Linked DNA regions of Cricetulus griseus. The main gene of each other region encodes a partner of the protein of the gene in region 2 in a complex. Links are inferred from orthologs where the notes say so. Each region holds a gene or a part of one and is shown on either strand. Other genes may lie near its edges.

Region 1 (5,523 bases), on a different chromosome or scaffold from region 2:
GGTCTTTCTGTTTTAGGTCTACTTCATTGTTTTCCAACATAGTCTCCTTTCTCAGTTTCCTTTCTTTACCTAAGACTGAATGTTTAAAATCCTGGCCCAGTTCCACCCATTCAGATCTGGGAGCTCCCATTTCCAGACTCTGAACATCTTCATAGCTTGGCAGATCATGTTAGGACAGCCTCTTCCCGTTTGTTATAAGCAGCTGGTACTCAGCCCCATCTCCACATTATCTGGATGGACAGCATGGGAACCACAGCATCCACAGGAACAAGCAGAGAGCCAGAAGGCAAAGAGGTAGTCCAAGGGAGGCAGAAGAACCACGTAGTCATGTAATTCCTCTGAGCTGTGAGTGTCCTCTGGGTGTGACCAGGAGACAAAGGGCATATACAAATGGTTCCATGTCATGGCCACTCCTTGTGGTCAGAGTTGTCTGGTCTGATTTTAAACTCAGACCTCTTGGGTGCTGCAGATGAGTACCCTACAAAGACCTGCGCTCAGATGATTTAAGAGGGTCAATGTGCTCCCTAATGGGAACATCTGGAAATCATATCAATGGAACCACCCAGAATCATAAGTCCCCGCAACAACACGGATGGGGACTGCCTCTGGTAACAAAAGAAAAAACATGCCAGACTGTGAATGGGTGGAAAGAATTTCTGTTAAGGACTGGAATTTCCTCTCTGGATGGCAGGCCCACAGCTAGAGAAGGGTGTGGCTTGGGGGGGGTGGTTATTTGTAGGTGCAGAAAAAGAGAACAGCCAACTTCTACTCAAGTCTCCCAGTTGATTGTGAAGAACAGGTTAAATCCAGTTTATTTAGACACCTCTTTGGGATAAGCTCAGCTCCATGTCTAGGTCTGTGAAACAACTGTATAGAAGCTGGGAATGGAGACCCAGCTGGTTTTGTGAGTAAATATTAGTTTAGGAAAATACAAAATGTCAAATCAAATTGCTATCTCTACAATTAACACACGTATCTTTTCTTTTTTTTTCTTTCCCTAAAAGATTCAAAATCTGAAAGGCAAGGGCTGTGTTTGTATGTACAAGCACACAGTGAACGAATATGCATGCATGTGTGTCTAGTCTACTACTGTATCCTCAGTACCATAACTGTGATTGGGACACAGTGGGTACGTAAAAGACAGTTTGTAAGACAAATGGATGCTGAAAGCAGCCCACAGTGCCTGGGACTCCTTTTGTAACACACCCACTCTCCCCAGATGAAACAGGTCTGGCACCCAGCACAAGCCAAGAATTAGAGCCAAAGTTCCCATCAACCCTCACACACATTAATGCAGGCCCAAAGGTGCAGAGAGAGATGAGAGTTCTCAAAAATCAATAGCAATTTAGGAGAGTGCCTGTCTTGCCAGGAAAACTACTTAAATCGGAACTTAGTCAGGAAGCCAGTGGCCAAGACTGCATGTGTAATGCCAATCAATAGGGTATTTTAATAACTCAAAGACACAGGATGTGAAACATTGAGAGGCACCAGTCCAAACCCAAGCTCTCAGTCAAAGCCTTAAGTGCTGCCTGGCTAGTTAGCAAAACTTCCTGAACTTCTCTCTCTACCACACCAAACAGGAAACCCTCAACAGAAAGGTGCGCACCTAGGAGGTTGCCCCTGCTGCAGCAGAGGCGACGGGCTCTTCTAAAGAAACCCCGGGATCTAAGGTGAGCAGTGGACTCAGTGGAAGAGGACGGGGCTCTGCCCTGATCTCATCTGCCATCTTCAGGTTCCCTGACTCAGACCCACAGGCTTTGGCTGGGCGCAGCACACACTGAAATGAAGAGGAAGTGGGTGTGGAGGAGGGGCCGCTCAAGTGTCCAAAGCCAACGTAACACATCAAGGGACACAGACCGCAAGAAGGTGGCAGGGAAGCAGGAAAAAGAAACCAGAGAAGGGGGCAAAGACACAAGTTTTCAATTAACACGATTTAATCAAATCTATATTTAAAACTAAACGGAGAAAACCCTGAAAACCGCATCAGTGATTTATTATTCCTACCCATGGACCACCCCTCGCCCTCCCATCTTGTATCCTGCTCCTTGCCATTAGGCAGCACTCAGATACAGTGCAAATTAATTAATTGGGGTGGGGGAGTGTGCTAGCATGGGTTTCCAAACTCCTTCTATAGTGTTCCTGGGGGAGAGCCGGGAAGTGGCTTCCCAGTCCAAGTTGCAGACTCATCTGATAATACCCCTGTATGTTAAAGGCTGAGGACCTTGGATTCCAAGAGTTTATGGTTGTTGTTAAGGGCTGGGACTGAATATGGCAAATTACTACACAAATGAATAACTTTCTGGTTATTCTGGTTCTGGGAATAAAAGCCTGGATCTTGTGTGTCTTAGTGGGGTACTCTACCAATGAGCTAGATCAGCTCTCCGTTTTGTTTGTTTGTTTTTTGAGACGGGGGTCAGGGGGAGGATGGTGTCTCACTTTGTAGCTCAGGCTGGATTCAAACTCAGGATCTTGCTGCCTCGGTCTTCCGAGTTTTGAGATTACCGCTATGTCTCAAGTAACAGCTTTTTGTTTTCTTTTATATTTGTACAACGCTGTGTTTTCAGTGTGCTTTACTTATCTATTTTTGAATGAACTTGTTTTCGGAAATCTTCAATAACTCAGTGTGGGTGGAGCTAAGAACAAGGGTTCGGAAACCACTTTTATAGATAAAGAAACTTCTGGAGCCACAGCCCTCCATGCCAGCATTGGAACCTGGGGCTCAGGAGCCACGCCCTTTTCTATAGACTCTGTCAATTGACTCATGGTGGCTTCAGTGCAGTCAAGGCAACTTTCTCTACTGAACCACCCGGGGATACTTCTTTCTGCACACGTTCCAGGGCGGCAAACTCCTCAGAAAGAATAGGGTCTGAGGTCGCTGTCCTACCAAACAATCTAGAGTTCGCGACAAAGACTGAGCTGAGATTGTTTTGTGTAAAGGAGGGCACCAAGAACTCAAGACTTGAAGTTCTGGTGCCGCCGCCCCCGCCCTCGCCCGGTTCCCCGCGCCGACTTCACAAATTTACGTTTGTCAGTAGCAAAGAAATACACCTGAAATTGCAGGAGTTATGGTTCAGAGTGAGAGGACGACGCAGTTCGGAAGGCGGAGGGGAAAAGTCCACAGATGTCTCACTGTTGGGCTGCAGGCTCCCCAGCGGCCACACCCAGTCCCCCGTTGGCACCTAGCACCTCTGGAATGCCGAGCCCCTCGGTTCCCCGCCCCACACAGGGTCTCCCTGCTTCTCAGGGGACCTCAAGGGGAAGCACAGTCTCCTCCACCTCTGCCCTGCACCCCCCCCAGGCGTGGTATGCAAAGAGACGTGTCACGACCCCACACGGGACACTTTGCAACTCTGTGGCAGGACGCGTAGATCGCCCAAGGGGATGGATCCTTCTTGGTGCCTCCCAGGGTCCCCGTCGTCGGAGCCTGCCCGCTCCCGGTTCAACACCGAAACCCCGAGGCCATAGCGGATGACCGGGCCGCGCCCCACTTACCTGGGCCGGGCGCCTAGCGCTGAAAGCCTCCCCAGAAGCCGAGCGGCCCGGCTGGGCTGGGTGGGGCTTTTATACCCGCCCCATCCTCCCTGCGTAAAGCCGCCACGCCTCCCCTCCCCTCCCCGGCCTGTGCCCACCCTGCTCCGGGTGACTCACCCTCTCTGGAACGCCGCCCAGTCCCGGCCCTGCCCTACGTGACAGCCTCACCACCTTCCCAGGCCCATCAAGCCTCCACCTCCCTACCCCCCTTACTCCTAGGGTATTGGGCCCAGTGGTCAGCCTGGCCCTCGGCTGTTAAGATTTCAGCAGACTGGCTTGCCCAATCCACTTCTTCTTTTGTTTATAGGCTTCTAGATGTCGAGGTAATGGAGGGTAGAATTGTTTCAAGACACACATACTTGGATTCCCCTGAGTTAGGCTGTTGGCACCCAGCTCTCCATGACCGTCTGCAAACATATTAGTTTAACCTCTGGTCACCAGATGGAGGAGCATGGGGTGGGCGGTTTATTTGAAACGACCTAGAGAGCCTAATGGGCCTAGGAAACTGCATGAAGGCCTCCAAGCAGTCAGGGAGACTCAGAGGTAAGGCACCCCCCCCCCACCCAGGTGCCTCCTTCCCCCAGACAGCAGCACTTCAGAGCACTCTACAAGACCTCCTACCGTCTTTCCTAATTGTAGATTATTAGGGTTTTGTTTTTCTCATTCCCTTGACCAATTGCTTCTCTGGGTTTTATTTTATTTTTTCATTTTTTCCTAGCCTGATTTTCAGGGGCAGTCACACGGACAATGCAGGAGTGAACTATGTCTGTGTGTGACTGCCCATACTGCATCAAACCTCAGGCTAACAGAAGAATCCAGAACACCTTTCACACTGGGTCTTTAAGCTGCACATTTCACCTCTCTCTCTTTTCTCCTGGTCCTAATGGTTCTTTATCATCTCTCCCATCTATTTGTGTGAGCCTGTAGTTCACATGTGGAAGCCAACCAGATGTCAGCCTCAGGGACGCTGTTCCTCAGGAGTTATTTGAGACAAGGTGCCTGGAGCTCACAAATTAGGTTTAGACTGGCTGGTTAGTAACCATTTTACCTGCCTGAATTGAGGATGGAACTCAGGTTCCTTTGCTTTGGCCACAAGCTCTTTACCAGCTGAGCTATCTTCTCAGCCCTGCTCCCAACTGACTACAACATCTGTTTATACTTTGTACTCCTCTCTCAGTTCATTCCGAGGATAGCAGGATAGCCAGGGAAAGAGATGCTCAGTACTGTGCTTACTGTCACATAGCCAGTTAGCTGTGAAGTCAGCCCCAACTGGGGTCCCAACATCCAGCTCAGGCTCTAGGTTGCCCAGCCTTGCCACTAGAAGTTACATGTGAGCCCCAGCAGAATAACAAGTAGAAAAAAGGACATTATCACTTTTGATACAATGTTTGATTTACATTCACAGCTCTTCATTATGGACAGCTTTAAAGACAAAAACCATGTTTATCTATCACTGGGTGTGAACGCCTTGGAACAGAAGAAGATTCAGGCACACAGTATCAAAAAGCAGTTGTCTGCCTCTGAGTTATTTCTCCACCCAGCCCCACAGGCCACATACTCCTGCTTGTGTGTGGGAGGGTGGGAGGTCCTCCACCGGAAATGACACTTAGCTGACATCATGCGAAATGTATAAAAGTCACCGAACAGCCAAAAGAATTTCTGGCTTATCCTGGACATCTGGCAAAGCTTAATGTATGTGGCCAGGCTTCATTGACATCCTGTTCAACTTTTCGGTGTCCTCAATCAAAAAAAGAGGCAGTTAGAAGTCACACTTGGCTATTTCTGAGGAATGTGAGACTGGTTCTGCTAGTATGAAGGACTTCTGAATCTCCATCCACAGATTGTCTTATTTGTTTCTTTGAAGCATCTCCCTCTACTTTGCACATGGCAGACTGCCGTGGGTTAAACACTGAAGAAGTCTTAGAGTGAATCCCTGAGGGACCATGTCATGTCTTTCTGGAGTCTTAACATATTTCAACATATTTCAACTTT
Region 2 (5,308 bases):
ATGCCAGCAGAGGAACTGTACACTCCAGCTCACTGAGATAGCATTTGGGTGATTGAAGGGAGGGGCCAGGCCATTTATTTAACTGATATTGACAATATGTAAAAGCAATCTTCTCCAAAGCCCCGTGTTTATTAGTGTAAGGGCCAGGACCTTAGATAACGTGATATTTATCAGGTAAATGTCAAGAGGCTAGATCCAGCCTTTTACCTTTACCTTTCAGAAACTAATGCATTATTGAACACCCAGTACAAGAACCATCCTTTCTTTCCAGGAAAAGAAGGGATCATACCACAGTCTGCTATTATATCAAGCTATGCTTTGTCTTGGGTGAGCATTAAATTCAACAACTGTCTCTTGAGGACCCACAAAGTCAAAAGACAACCATGCCTAGCTGACTATTGTCTTGAGTGGCATATCTGAGGAGTCCTAGTCTTCAGGGGTTGTTCAGTGTGATCAAAGGGAGGTAAAACCTAGACTATACTTCTAGGCTCCTAAGTTGACATTTTCATTGTAAAAATCAATTATCTGGAGTGACATTTTGCCCTGATTCAGCCAACAATTAACAAGATCTCTTTATGTGAGCATTGGTAGCACACACCTTTAATCCCAGCACTCGGGAGGCAGACACAGGAAGATCTCTGTGAGTTCGAGACCAGCCTGGTCTACAAGAGCTAGTTCCAGGACAGCCTCCAAAGCCACAGAGAAACCCTGTCTCAAAAAACAAAACAAACAAACAAACAAAAAAGATCTCTTTATGGGTTAGAGCTGGAAAAAGAAGAAAAGTCTTTCTATAAATAGGGATTTTAAGAAGATTTGAGTAGATTGAGTAGAGGGAAGTTTCCCAGTAGAGCCCTGGCTTTGCATGAATGGGGCTCCAGGGTCAACACAAAGCTCACACCCACACACAAAGGAGATTCAAGTTGTTCAAGTGGCATATGACAAGAATGTGAAACCACTGTCATTAGTGTTAGGGACCTGAGGTGTGGCACCTTGATCCATGACACCCTTGTGAAAAGTCTTTTCCCTCTTGTTGTTCCAGTGGGTGTGGATATTTTCATCTGCAATCAGAGCACAGGGGTGGGGCCTTTTCCACTTTGCTGCCCCTGTGCTATCCTAGCACTGTCTACTAAGTAAATGAATGAAACACTTCCAAGTGGTGAGCCTACAGGGATGGAGACAATGGAAGGACAAGGGAAGGGACCTTGGATTTTTATGTCTGGTCTGAGACTTTCCACACTTACTTCCAAAAACCCAGGGAACTCCCTTTCCATGAGCACTCTGAGGTCCTCCTTTGTTAAGTAGTCTTTATCGCCCGCAAATCTGTGAAATGTAAGCATCATGGTTTCCATGGCATGCTCCATCTGAGACGGCATCTTGAAGAGGTCTGTTGAAACCTGTTAATGGACACAAAGAAAGAGTTTGCCTTAACCTTTAAACCACATGCTGGAAGTCTGTAGAGGGTGGTCGGAAAGGATAAAATAGGTCTAATCACCTTTCCAATAAAATTCAATCAATCTCAGGTCCTATTTGGGGTCTTTTGCTGGTGGCAAGACACTTCAGGTGCTGGACCTCAGAATGTGGGATTTGCCTGACTGTCAGCTTCTTTTCTCGGTTCCTAATCAAGATAAGAAGGCCTAACTTTCTAGAAAAGCAAGACAAGAGCTGCTCCTTTACTGGAAAGCACTGGATGAAAGATGATGTTTCCATATTTCCCCTGGCACTGAAAATGTGACTCTTAGAAATGGCTGAACCCCAACAAGCCACGAGTCCAGCCTGGTTAATACAGAAACTTCATCCCGCCACCCATGCCACAGGAGCCTGAACCAATACAATTTCAGAGATTAGAAATGTACTTACAGATGGACATGTCTGCTGGAAATGTATACTCTCCTAACGATCTGAACTTGTTCTCTGGCAGTCAGTGCAGCTGCTCTGCCTGAGTAAGCTTCATACATTCATTTTCAAGTTCAGCAGGGAAGGAATAGGTAAGAGGGTACACAAGCTCCTTTGGGTGCTGAATATGTTTCTGGTAGGACTATACAGAGCGTTTTCCTCATAAATTGGGGGTACAGTGAGAGAGTAAGGGTCTTTCCTGATGAGGAGTTTAAAGAGAGGAAAGGAATTTTAGGTCACCGCATGCTGGTATAATGAACTGGGACAAATGTTTCATCAAGACCCCATGCCTAATGGAGCTCAGTGTCCACATATAGTTTTGAGTACAGAAGGAGGGAGAGATTGGCTCCTTCCCCCACTGAAGAGCAATGATGGGAATTCGGGGTGTGCTTTGGTCTGATTCCTGATGCTGACAGATGCTTGTTCAGTACAGATCCCCAAGTTCTGAAACCCACCCCGACACACACTGAAACCTAGAACCTCACTCACCTGTGCCCATCTCCTATCACTGAACTACATCCCCCAGCTCTCTTTTCACTTTCTATTTTGAGACAGTCTCACTAAGTTGCCTAGGATGGCTTTAACTCAAGATCCTCCTGTTTCTGCCTCGTGAGTAGCTGGTATTGCAGGTCTGAACCACTAGGCCTGGCTTCTAAGTATTATCTTTTACAGAGTCAAAGGTGTAGTGCTGAAGGCTAGCACTGAAAAGTTAGATTTAAAGGTTGTAACTTGTTCCTCTTCGTCTCCAAGAAGGTAGAAGAACCAGCTACAGAAAATGCCACTTCTGAGAACACTGTCAATCAGGATCCGGCATGATTCATCTGCATGACTTGGATAGCAACAAGTTTACAATTCAAGGTGTCTAATGCCATGAAATTCAGAAGAGCCACTCCTTTTTCCCTCTCGTCCTGTACTGCTCAGATCCGCCCCACCTCCCCACTCCTAGATATGGGTTTTTGGCGGTGGCAGAGAGCTTAGTGGAAGTCTGCCTTGCTTGGATTGATTTGAAAGTGCAGGAATTGAACTGAACTGAGTAAGCCACCTAAAGAAGGATGTGGGGTGCCACCTCAGCCCTTTAACAATCCAGGAAAGGAGCCAGACACCAGTGAAGTTTAAAATGTCTATGTCCTCATTCAGAGCCAGAGAGCTCTCCTACCATGTCTGAAGGCGAAGATTCCAGATGACATCCCAGATGTTAGAACTGCGTGGACACCCATTGTACTTTCCTCACAGACATCAGGAAAGTGTATTGCAGAGCTAGAGAAGGAAGAGGAATGGCCAGGATAGGGATCCCCCAAATAGAAAAACAGTCATCTTAGTACTCTCTGGAAATGCAAGTTGATAGCCAAGGAAGTCCTGGCCTCGCTTGAATGTCCTCTTCAGGAGGGTGAGGTCAGGTTGCCTTAGCCAAGAACTGGTTCTCAGGTCTGAGGTCAATCCACTCCTTCCTTCCTTACCCAGCTGGTTATGAAGTGGCAGAGTCCCTTCCTGAAGCCCGTGTCTGCCCTTTTGTCCTTCCTGCTTGCCTGCCCTAGCTGTTTTGTTCCACACAGGTGAATAGAGCAGCTAACTGGCTCTCTGCTTGTTCAAGAGAACTTCAATAAGAACACAAGAGATAGGGGCTGGCCAGAAAAGGAAAATAGTTGAATTTCACAGGGGATGCCCTTGGTTCCAGAACAAGGAATTGTGCTGGAGAAAGTTTTAAAGTAAGGCCAAGGATCCAGGTAAGGTAGGGGAAGTCCCAAGAACTATGAACCTAGCACTCAGAGGTGCAATGGGGCTGAGGCAGGAAAAAATAGCCTTCTAGGCCAGTCTAGGCTGTATAGACTCTGTCTCAAGAATCAAAATAACAAATCAAAAAAGGAAGACAAAGGAAAACGTGATAATGAGGCTCTGTTGGATGACTGAACCACTCAGTACTTCTCCGGTGAAGTGGTCCCAGCCTAGCCTCCACTGTTTGGGTGGGGCTGTTATTACAACGCTCACTACAGACAGTTCCATAATCATTTACTAGAGTGCAAGCTTTTCAGGAACCTGAATCTGGCACCTGCACTCCACCTAACACCCCACAAACTCCACTCCAGATGGGTTGGGTCTTCCCCTTCTAGTTGGGTAATACTTTGTCACAAGGGCCTTGGGACTTGGTCTGAGAAGTAGGGGGCTCTGTTCAGTGTTGCTGACACCCCATTCCATACCTGGTATACACAATCAGATACAGTTCGAGACCCAATCTGCCTTGGCCCTACAGCTGCCTTAGTCCAGAACCACATATGACTCTGCTTCAGTTGAGAGATGACTAAATACCATTTGCTAAATGGATGGCTCAAAGTAGCTGAGATACAGATAAGACTATCCTTAGACAGCTGATGGCTTTGCAGCTCAGAGTTCAGCAGTTAGAGGAGATGAGTTCTGGGAAGGGCAGGGAAAGGGGCCTCAACAGGGTTCACCTATGAATGGCATGGCAGGGTACAGAGAGCACATTCCAAACACAAAGGAAAAAAATGTGTGTCCTGCTAAGCAAGTCTGGTCTGACGGCCATGCTTCTCACTCCTGCTCTTTCTCTTGTTTTCATTCCTCTCTCCTTCCACTGCCTCACTGGCTCCCAGGACAGACCTCTGGGCCCACTCACCTCTCCTTGAACTATTTTATTCTGATGTGTTTATGCCCTTCACATGTTAACTTGAGCAATGGGTCTCAACTGTCCCTCTCTGCAGAAAGCAATTCTGGTTTTGTTTCTCTTACACCTTATACACCTCACTTATGAGGTTTAGTACCAACAATATTCTCATTCTGTCCATTGGTCTTTCTGGGAGGGGCAGAAGGCAGGAAGGAGTCCCTCTTCCTGAGCAATTCCAAATGTCTGTCCTGGACCTATGCCCAGGTCAAGGCTATAAATCTCAGAAGCTGGAGGTCTGATTTACTTTGTTCATCTGTATTTTGTCCATATCGTACTGTTCTTGAAGCCAACCAGAATTAATTAGGGTGAACACAAACATTCATTATTTAAAAACATTTGAGTTTCTGTTCTTTTGTTTGGGGGAATTTGAAGAATCCTTTCTTTCTTTCCTTTTTTAATTGAACCCAGAGGATGCTCTTGAATCTGACCCTTAAAGTATATTTGGAGGAGGAGTGAGTTTAAAATAATGGATTTTGACTCAGGCTCTCTCACCAAATGAAACTTGTTTACTGGGGACTAGAGAAATGGCTCAGTGGTTAAGAGCACTGACTGGCTGCTCTTCCAGAGGTCCTGAATTCAATTCCCAGCAACCACATGGTGGCTCACACCCATCTGTAATGAGAGCTGGTGCCCTCTTCTGGTATGGATGAAAACAAAGCACCCATATATATAAAATAAAAATAAACAAATATTTTTTTTAAAAAACTTGCTTACTACAGATGTGATCTGCAAAAGACA
Region 3 (5,395 bases), about 65 Mb from region 2:
TGAAATAGAAGGAAACAAATTTATAGAACAAATACTCTAATGAAATTATTAGACTTTTAAAATAAGAATATCTTTTAATCATCAGGCAAAAAGAAATTCCAATTTTCCAATTCAGTTAAGTGGGGAAGAAAATCCTGCTGCATCAAGTTTCACTAACAATATCCTGTGCAGCATTAGGATACAGGGAAAAAACATGGATCATACATTTTATGTTTAGCCAAACTCTCAAGTAGAAAATGAAAATTATGAATTTATAAAAACTCAAGAAATTGTTCTTTCCTAAGTAATCTCCTAGATGGGACATCTTATATAACTACTAAACAATACGAGATGTTTCAACATAAAAAATACAGAGAATGAAAAACAAGACAAATGGGAAACACAGAATTCCCACAAAGTATCTCCTGATAACTTACTTCAATTAAAAAAAAAAAAAGTTCTGGGGGCTGGAGAGATGGCTCAGAGGTTAAGAGCACTGGCTGCTCTTCCAGAGGTCCTGAGTTCAATTCCCAGCAACCACATGGTGGCTCACAACCACCTATAATGAGATCTGGTGCTCTCTTCTGGGGTGCAGGCTGAACACTGTATAAATAATAAATAAATCTTAAAAAAAAAAAAGTTCTGAAACCATCAAGTACTCAGAGGGCTGAGACAAGTGGACCACTGTGAGCTCACTATGAGTTCAAGGTCAACCTGGACTACTTAGTGCTTGCCAGGTTAGGCTGTAGAGTCAAACCCCTTCCCCCAAGAACAACAAGAAACCATTTAACAAGCTTTATCATAAAGATACAAGGGAAGGGGAAAAGTAACAAAATCAACAAGATTCCGAAAAACAGACCTTGTTTTTGACACACAAATATGTAACAGGAAACAAGAGTGGACCTTACAGCCCATAACAGCCAAAGATAATATATTAACCCTGTTTTGAGCCTGATAAAAATACAGTTTTAATAATCAACAGAATCCAATTATTGATTGCTATGAAAATGAAACATAAAAACTAAGATGTATTTTATTTTTAATCATGTATACTTATGTATTCTATATGGGGGTATGTATGAGTACCCATGTATGCCAGAAGAGGGCACAGGACCTCTGGAACTGTAAAGGGAGTAGTCAGTGGCCAGCCATGAGTGAACAGAACTCCAGTCCTCTGCAAAAGCAGCCAAATGTTCTTAACTGCTGAGTCATCTCTTCAGCCCACAAACTGAATTTTAAAGAAATATATACTGAACTATACTAATATAAAATTTAGTATTTGTTTTTACAAAGATAAAGAAAAAAGAATAAAACAAATATAGAAAATACTTGATAACCTCTGACTTACTCTAATTTTATGTTTGAAATTTTCTCATGATAAACTGGATATTAGAAGTATTACCCAAATAACAAAGATGGCCATAATGAAGATTACAGTGCACAAAATTATATATATATAATACATACACACACATATATATATACTCTCAATCTGTCCTCTTTTTCTCACGAGCACACACACACACAATCAATTAGAGAACAGGAATAAATCGAAGAAAGAGCAGGAGCTATTCTATTGCAAAAATAAAGAACTCAAAAGTAAATAACTTATCTAATAAAAATTGATAGATTCGAAGTTGCTTCCTAAATTCAGCATATATTTTCTTCATTGGGACAAATCATTTAACCATCTACATCTCTACCTTCCATTAAGGAAGAGAACCTCAGTAATTACAAGAATCAAATGTCAGTATGGGCAAAAGTGCTTTATATACTGTAAGCATGGTACAAATGTACAAAATTAATCAAAGATGGTAAAGGTATTTAGAACAAGCCTTTGAGTGACATATTTCAGTCACTCAAAGTAAAACATTAATTGTATATATGTATACATAATATGTCACCATTTAATATAATTTACGGTTAAAACCATATGCATACAACAATTTTATTTAGTATCTACTCTTATACTCACTACTCCTGTGTAATAGCGCAGTCCAACAACTTGACCTCTCAAAGTTCCAAATAAAATGGGATCCAGCTCTTCATCACTAGTTAGGAAGTCATCTGGAGGGATAACGTCTTGGAACTCAAAACGTGGAAAGAAAGTTGGGTATGAAAGTCTTGGAAAATTTCCATGGGCTCCATATTGGACAGACTGCAAATACTTCCAAACAGGATCCCTATTAAAAAAAAAAAAAAAAACACAAAACAAAAACAAAAACAAAGCATACATTAAAACAATAGAACTTTCGGGGAGTTAGTGGCACACGCCTTTAATCCCAGCACTTGGGAGACAGAGACAGGCGGATCTCTGTGAGTTCCAGGCCAGCCTGGTCTCCAGCTCGAGTACCAGGATAGGCTCCAAAGCTACACAGAGAAACCCTGTCTCGAAAACCAAAAACAAACAAACAAACAAACAAACAAAAAAAAACAGAACTTAACCAAGTATTTCTCAAAGAACACAGTCAAACAGTATTTTCAGGCCAATCACTTCCTTACATTTTATTTTAGCAAGTGAAATGTTATGTGGCAAATACCACTTAACAATTACCCTGGCTAAAGCAAGAGCCGAGTAGGTAAAGCTACCAAATCTGACCTGTTAAATACTGGAAATTCTTTCCTGCGGAAATCTATTTACATTAAAATGTCAAAATCTTCAATGCCAACTAATGAAGAAGAGATTTATAAAAACAAAATTACCATTGTATATGTTTTTTTTTTTCTTTTTGTTTTTTTCGAGACAGGGTTTCTGTGTAGCCCTGGCTCACCTAGAAACTCACTCTGTAGACCAAGCTGGCCTTGAACTCAAGAGATCTGCTTGCCTCTGCCTTCTGAGAGGTGGGATTAAGGTCGTGCGCCCCATCGTCTGGCTATGAAAATATCTTTAGCCTTCGACATAAAGCATTCACAGCTTTAACTCCTGCAGAACAGCTATCTAAACTATGACATCATAGGAAGCTGACCTGCAGGCCCCCTTACCTATCTATCCATCACCCTGTTATTTTAAAGGTAACCAATCTTAAGGATCATTATTACAGGAGTGGGCATAAAAACCGCTGCAGGTGATCAAGTGATGTTTGCTGGAAGCCTTCTACAAGTTGTCTTTCCCCTAAAAGCACACGGGGCTATCCTTTGGGAGTCCCCGCTTCAGCTCTCCTCTGCAAGCACAGGCTCCTGCTCACTACTGTGAGACACTGGGTGTCGGGCTGTCTCGGAGCTGTCACGGTAACAATTCCTAGCGTATGGCGAGACAACAATGCCTAGAGCACAGTGGGTAGCCAATAGGTGTTCTGATGAATAAAGCTCTTCGGGTGGAGCTTTGGACCCCCACAACCGGTGATGGAGACCTCCCGAGGTGCTGGCAGCAGATTCTCGGGTCAGCCGAGACAACGCTTTGCGCAAGCCACACGTGCAAGCGACCCGGGGAGGGCATCCAAGCCGCACCTATCTTATCTATCTATCTATCTATCGTCCGCCCGCCGGGAGCGGGTTCACTGAAGACGGCGCGGGGCCCCGGGCCGCACGCCCCACCCCCTCAGCCCTTCACCTCTTGAACATCCAGGACATGGCGCCGGGCGGGGTGACCTCGGGATGCCCTGGGCGCCCGGACTTTCTCAGGCCGCCTGAAAAAGTCCCTCAGGGTCTCGCGGCCCAGGGACCGGGAACCAGATGCGAACCGCGAAGAAGCGACGCTCCAGACGCGGGTTTATTTAGAAGCCGACTCCCACTACTTCAGCAACAGTCTGAGAGGCCAGTGACGTTTTGTGATCGGCACTGAGATTGTCCAATCGGAATGAAGAATCTCTAAATACCAACCAATCAGGGTGCTAGAGGGTGGGGAGCTCCGCCCCATGCAGCGATTCAAAGGCAGTGGAGTGTTGGGGAGGTTCCATCCGGGTTCTTCCGCGCCCCGAGGGCGGTTGCGCGGGAAAACCTCGAGGTCTTTCAAGTGAGCCACTTGGCTAAAGGTTCCCTGCCCGCTGCAGAGGAAAGATTTCTTCCTGCCACTGCCCAAAACCATAAGGCTGTCTGTCCCCTGAGGTCTGAGCCTCCTTCGCCCACCCTATCTGAGATAATGCCTAAAGGGCCTCCCCTAGAAGGAGGAGCTCATTTCCTCTGAGATGCCCTATGTTTGTAATTAGGAACCTCGGTGTGTGGAGACCCTGAGTCCTAGAAATCTGAGGAAGAACACAATTTCCCTTTCTCACCTTATTTTCTAGTGTTTAAAGACATTTTCATCACTTAGTAGAAGAAAGCCATAAAATAGGACAGTCTTACAACTCTATTGCTGAGACTGGTCCAGCACTGGTGTAAGGTGAGGTGGCAGCTGTGGCCACTTGCGTTTTTTCTCGGGAAATTGAAGGAGACACTGTAAGAAAAACTTTATAAAGGGAAATTCGGCCTTAGGGTTGTGTGTGCATCAGTAACAGCCAAGGTAGAGGTGGTTCCTGTACCGTGTGTTAGACCCCCGAAAACTCAAGTATCTGGGGTCCTAGGCCACATTCGCGGTCACCCCAATCACCAGGCAGATTCCAGAGCTTGCTGCAAACTGCACGAGGCTTTATTGTAATTTAACAAGCTAACCCCATGTTAGCTCGGGTCTTTCACCCACCCGCCATGGCGGATGGCTAGCAAAAGACGCTCCTAGGGCCTCCCAAGAGATCTTATAGGACAGCGGAAGGGGAGTGTCTAGGGGTACGCACAGACTCAGGATTGGTGTGCCTCCAGGCTTGGAGGGCTTGCCCTGTGTTGATTGGTCAACTGGTTGTTATGGCCCATAGGCCCTCCCAGGGTGGTTGCTATGCTCTCCAAGTCATTGCTGTGCGCTTGTCTGTAAAGCACACCCAGGGTCGTAAAGCATAGCGCCACCAGCTAATTTCTGATTGGTTCCTTGTCACGAGGCAGGCATCTGACTTTCTAGTGTCTGGGACAAGGTCATTATGGCTGCCAAAAGGGAAGCTGGTCCCTTCATGTGAAAGACCACAAAAATACTACTGAAGTAGTCTTTTAACTGTTGCCGCTTCACCTGCACCTAAAATAGGAAGCTAGTGGTGGTGCTGAGCCAAACAAACATAATATGGTGTGCTGTAAACCATCAGAATTGCTAGATGTGTTTGTGAATGTTTTAAACACTGACAGCCAACCTTCCAAGAGTAGTTCATTTTGTGATTCTGTTGGCATAGTATGAAAGGTAGGTGGCTTGTGTGTGTTCGTTGTCTTACAAAATGATGATCTGTGCATTATTTAAGTGAAATGAGAGTATTTCAAGTGGACCACTGGCATGACATTGTGGGAAATACTAATGTCAACAACAACAACAAAAAAGAACAACAGACAAAAAACAATTCACTTTAACAGGCTTGGAAGGCAAATATCAGTAAGCATGGCCTGGGAACAGAGATTTAGATCACCC

The links.
Region 1: the proteins of S100a10 (region 2) and Anxa2 are in contact, whole or in part, in a crystal structure (PDB 4FTG), measured with the Homo sapiens proteins. The link is inferred for Cricetulus griseus from reciprocal best matches to the Homo sapiens genes S100A10 and ANXA2. Residues at the interface, in NP_002957.1 of Homo sapiens: Phe39, Gly41, Phe42, Asn45, Gln46, Ala51, Lys54, Ile55, Leu79, Ala82, Cys83, Tyr86, Phe87, Met91; in NP_001002857.1 of Homo sapiens: Val4, Glu6, Ile7, Leu8, Lys10, Leu11, Ser12, Leu13.
Region 3: the proteins of S100a10 (region 2) and Hltf are in contact, whole or in part, in a crystal structure (PDB 4HRE), measured with the Homo sapiens proteins. The link is inferred for Cricetulus griseus from reciprocal best matches to the Homo sapiens genes S100A10 and HLTF. Residues at the interface, in NP_002957.1 of Homo sapiens: Phe42, Asp58, Leu59, Asp60, Gln61, Gln70, Ser74, Leu75, Ala77, Gly78, Leu79, Ile81, Ala82, Tyr86; in NP_001305864.1 of Homo sapiens: Thr32, Phe33, Phe34, Pro35, Phe37, Phe39.

Annotation. Positions count from the first base shown.
Region 1 is NC_048597.1:181,008,227-181,013,749, reverse strand, and holds the start of Anxa2 (annexin A2), read right to left. Parts: upstream 3,601-5,523; 5' UTR 3,493-3,600; intron 1-3,492. UniProt on the Homo sapiens protein: Calcium-regulated membrane-binding protein whose affinity for calcium is greatly enhanced by anionic phospholipids. It binds two calcium ions with high affinity. May be involved in heat-stress response.
Region 2 is NW_023276806.1:62,480,336-62,485,643, forward strand, and holds the start of S100a10 (protein S100-A10), read right to left. Parts: upstream 3,151-5,308; 5' UTR 3,053-3,150; coding exon 3,050-3,052; intron 1,616-3,049; exon of another isoform or gene 1,493-1,615; intron 1,395-1,492; coding exon 1,242-1,394; intron 1-1,241. UniProt on the Homo sapiens protein: Because S100A10 induces the dimerization of ANXA2/p36, it may function as a regulator of protein phosphorylation in that the ANXA2 monomer is the preferred target (in vitro) of tyrosine-specific kinase.
Region 3 is NW_023276806.1:127,935,138-127,940,532, forward strand, and holds the start of Hltf (helicase-like transcription factor), read right to left. Parts: upstream 3,730-5,395; 5' UTR 3,550-3,729; coding exon 3,530-3,549; intron 2,163-3,529; coding exon 1,955-2,162; intron 1-1,954. UniProt on the Homo sapiens protein: Has both helicase and E3 ubiquitin ligase activities. Possesses intrinsic ATP-dependent nucleosome-remodeling activity; This activity may be required for transcriptional activation or repression of specific target promoters.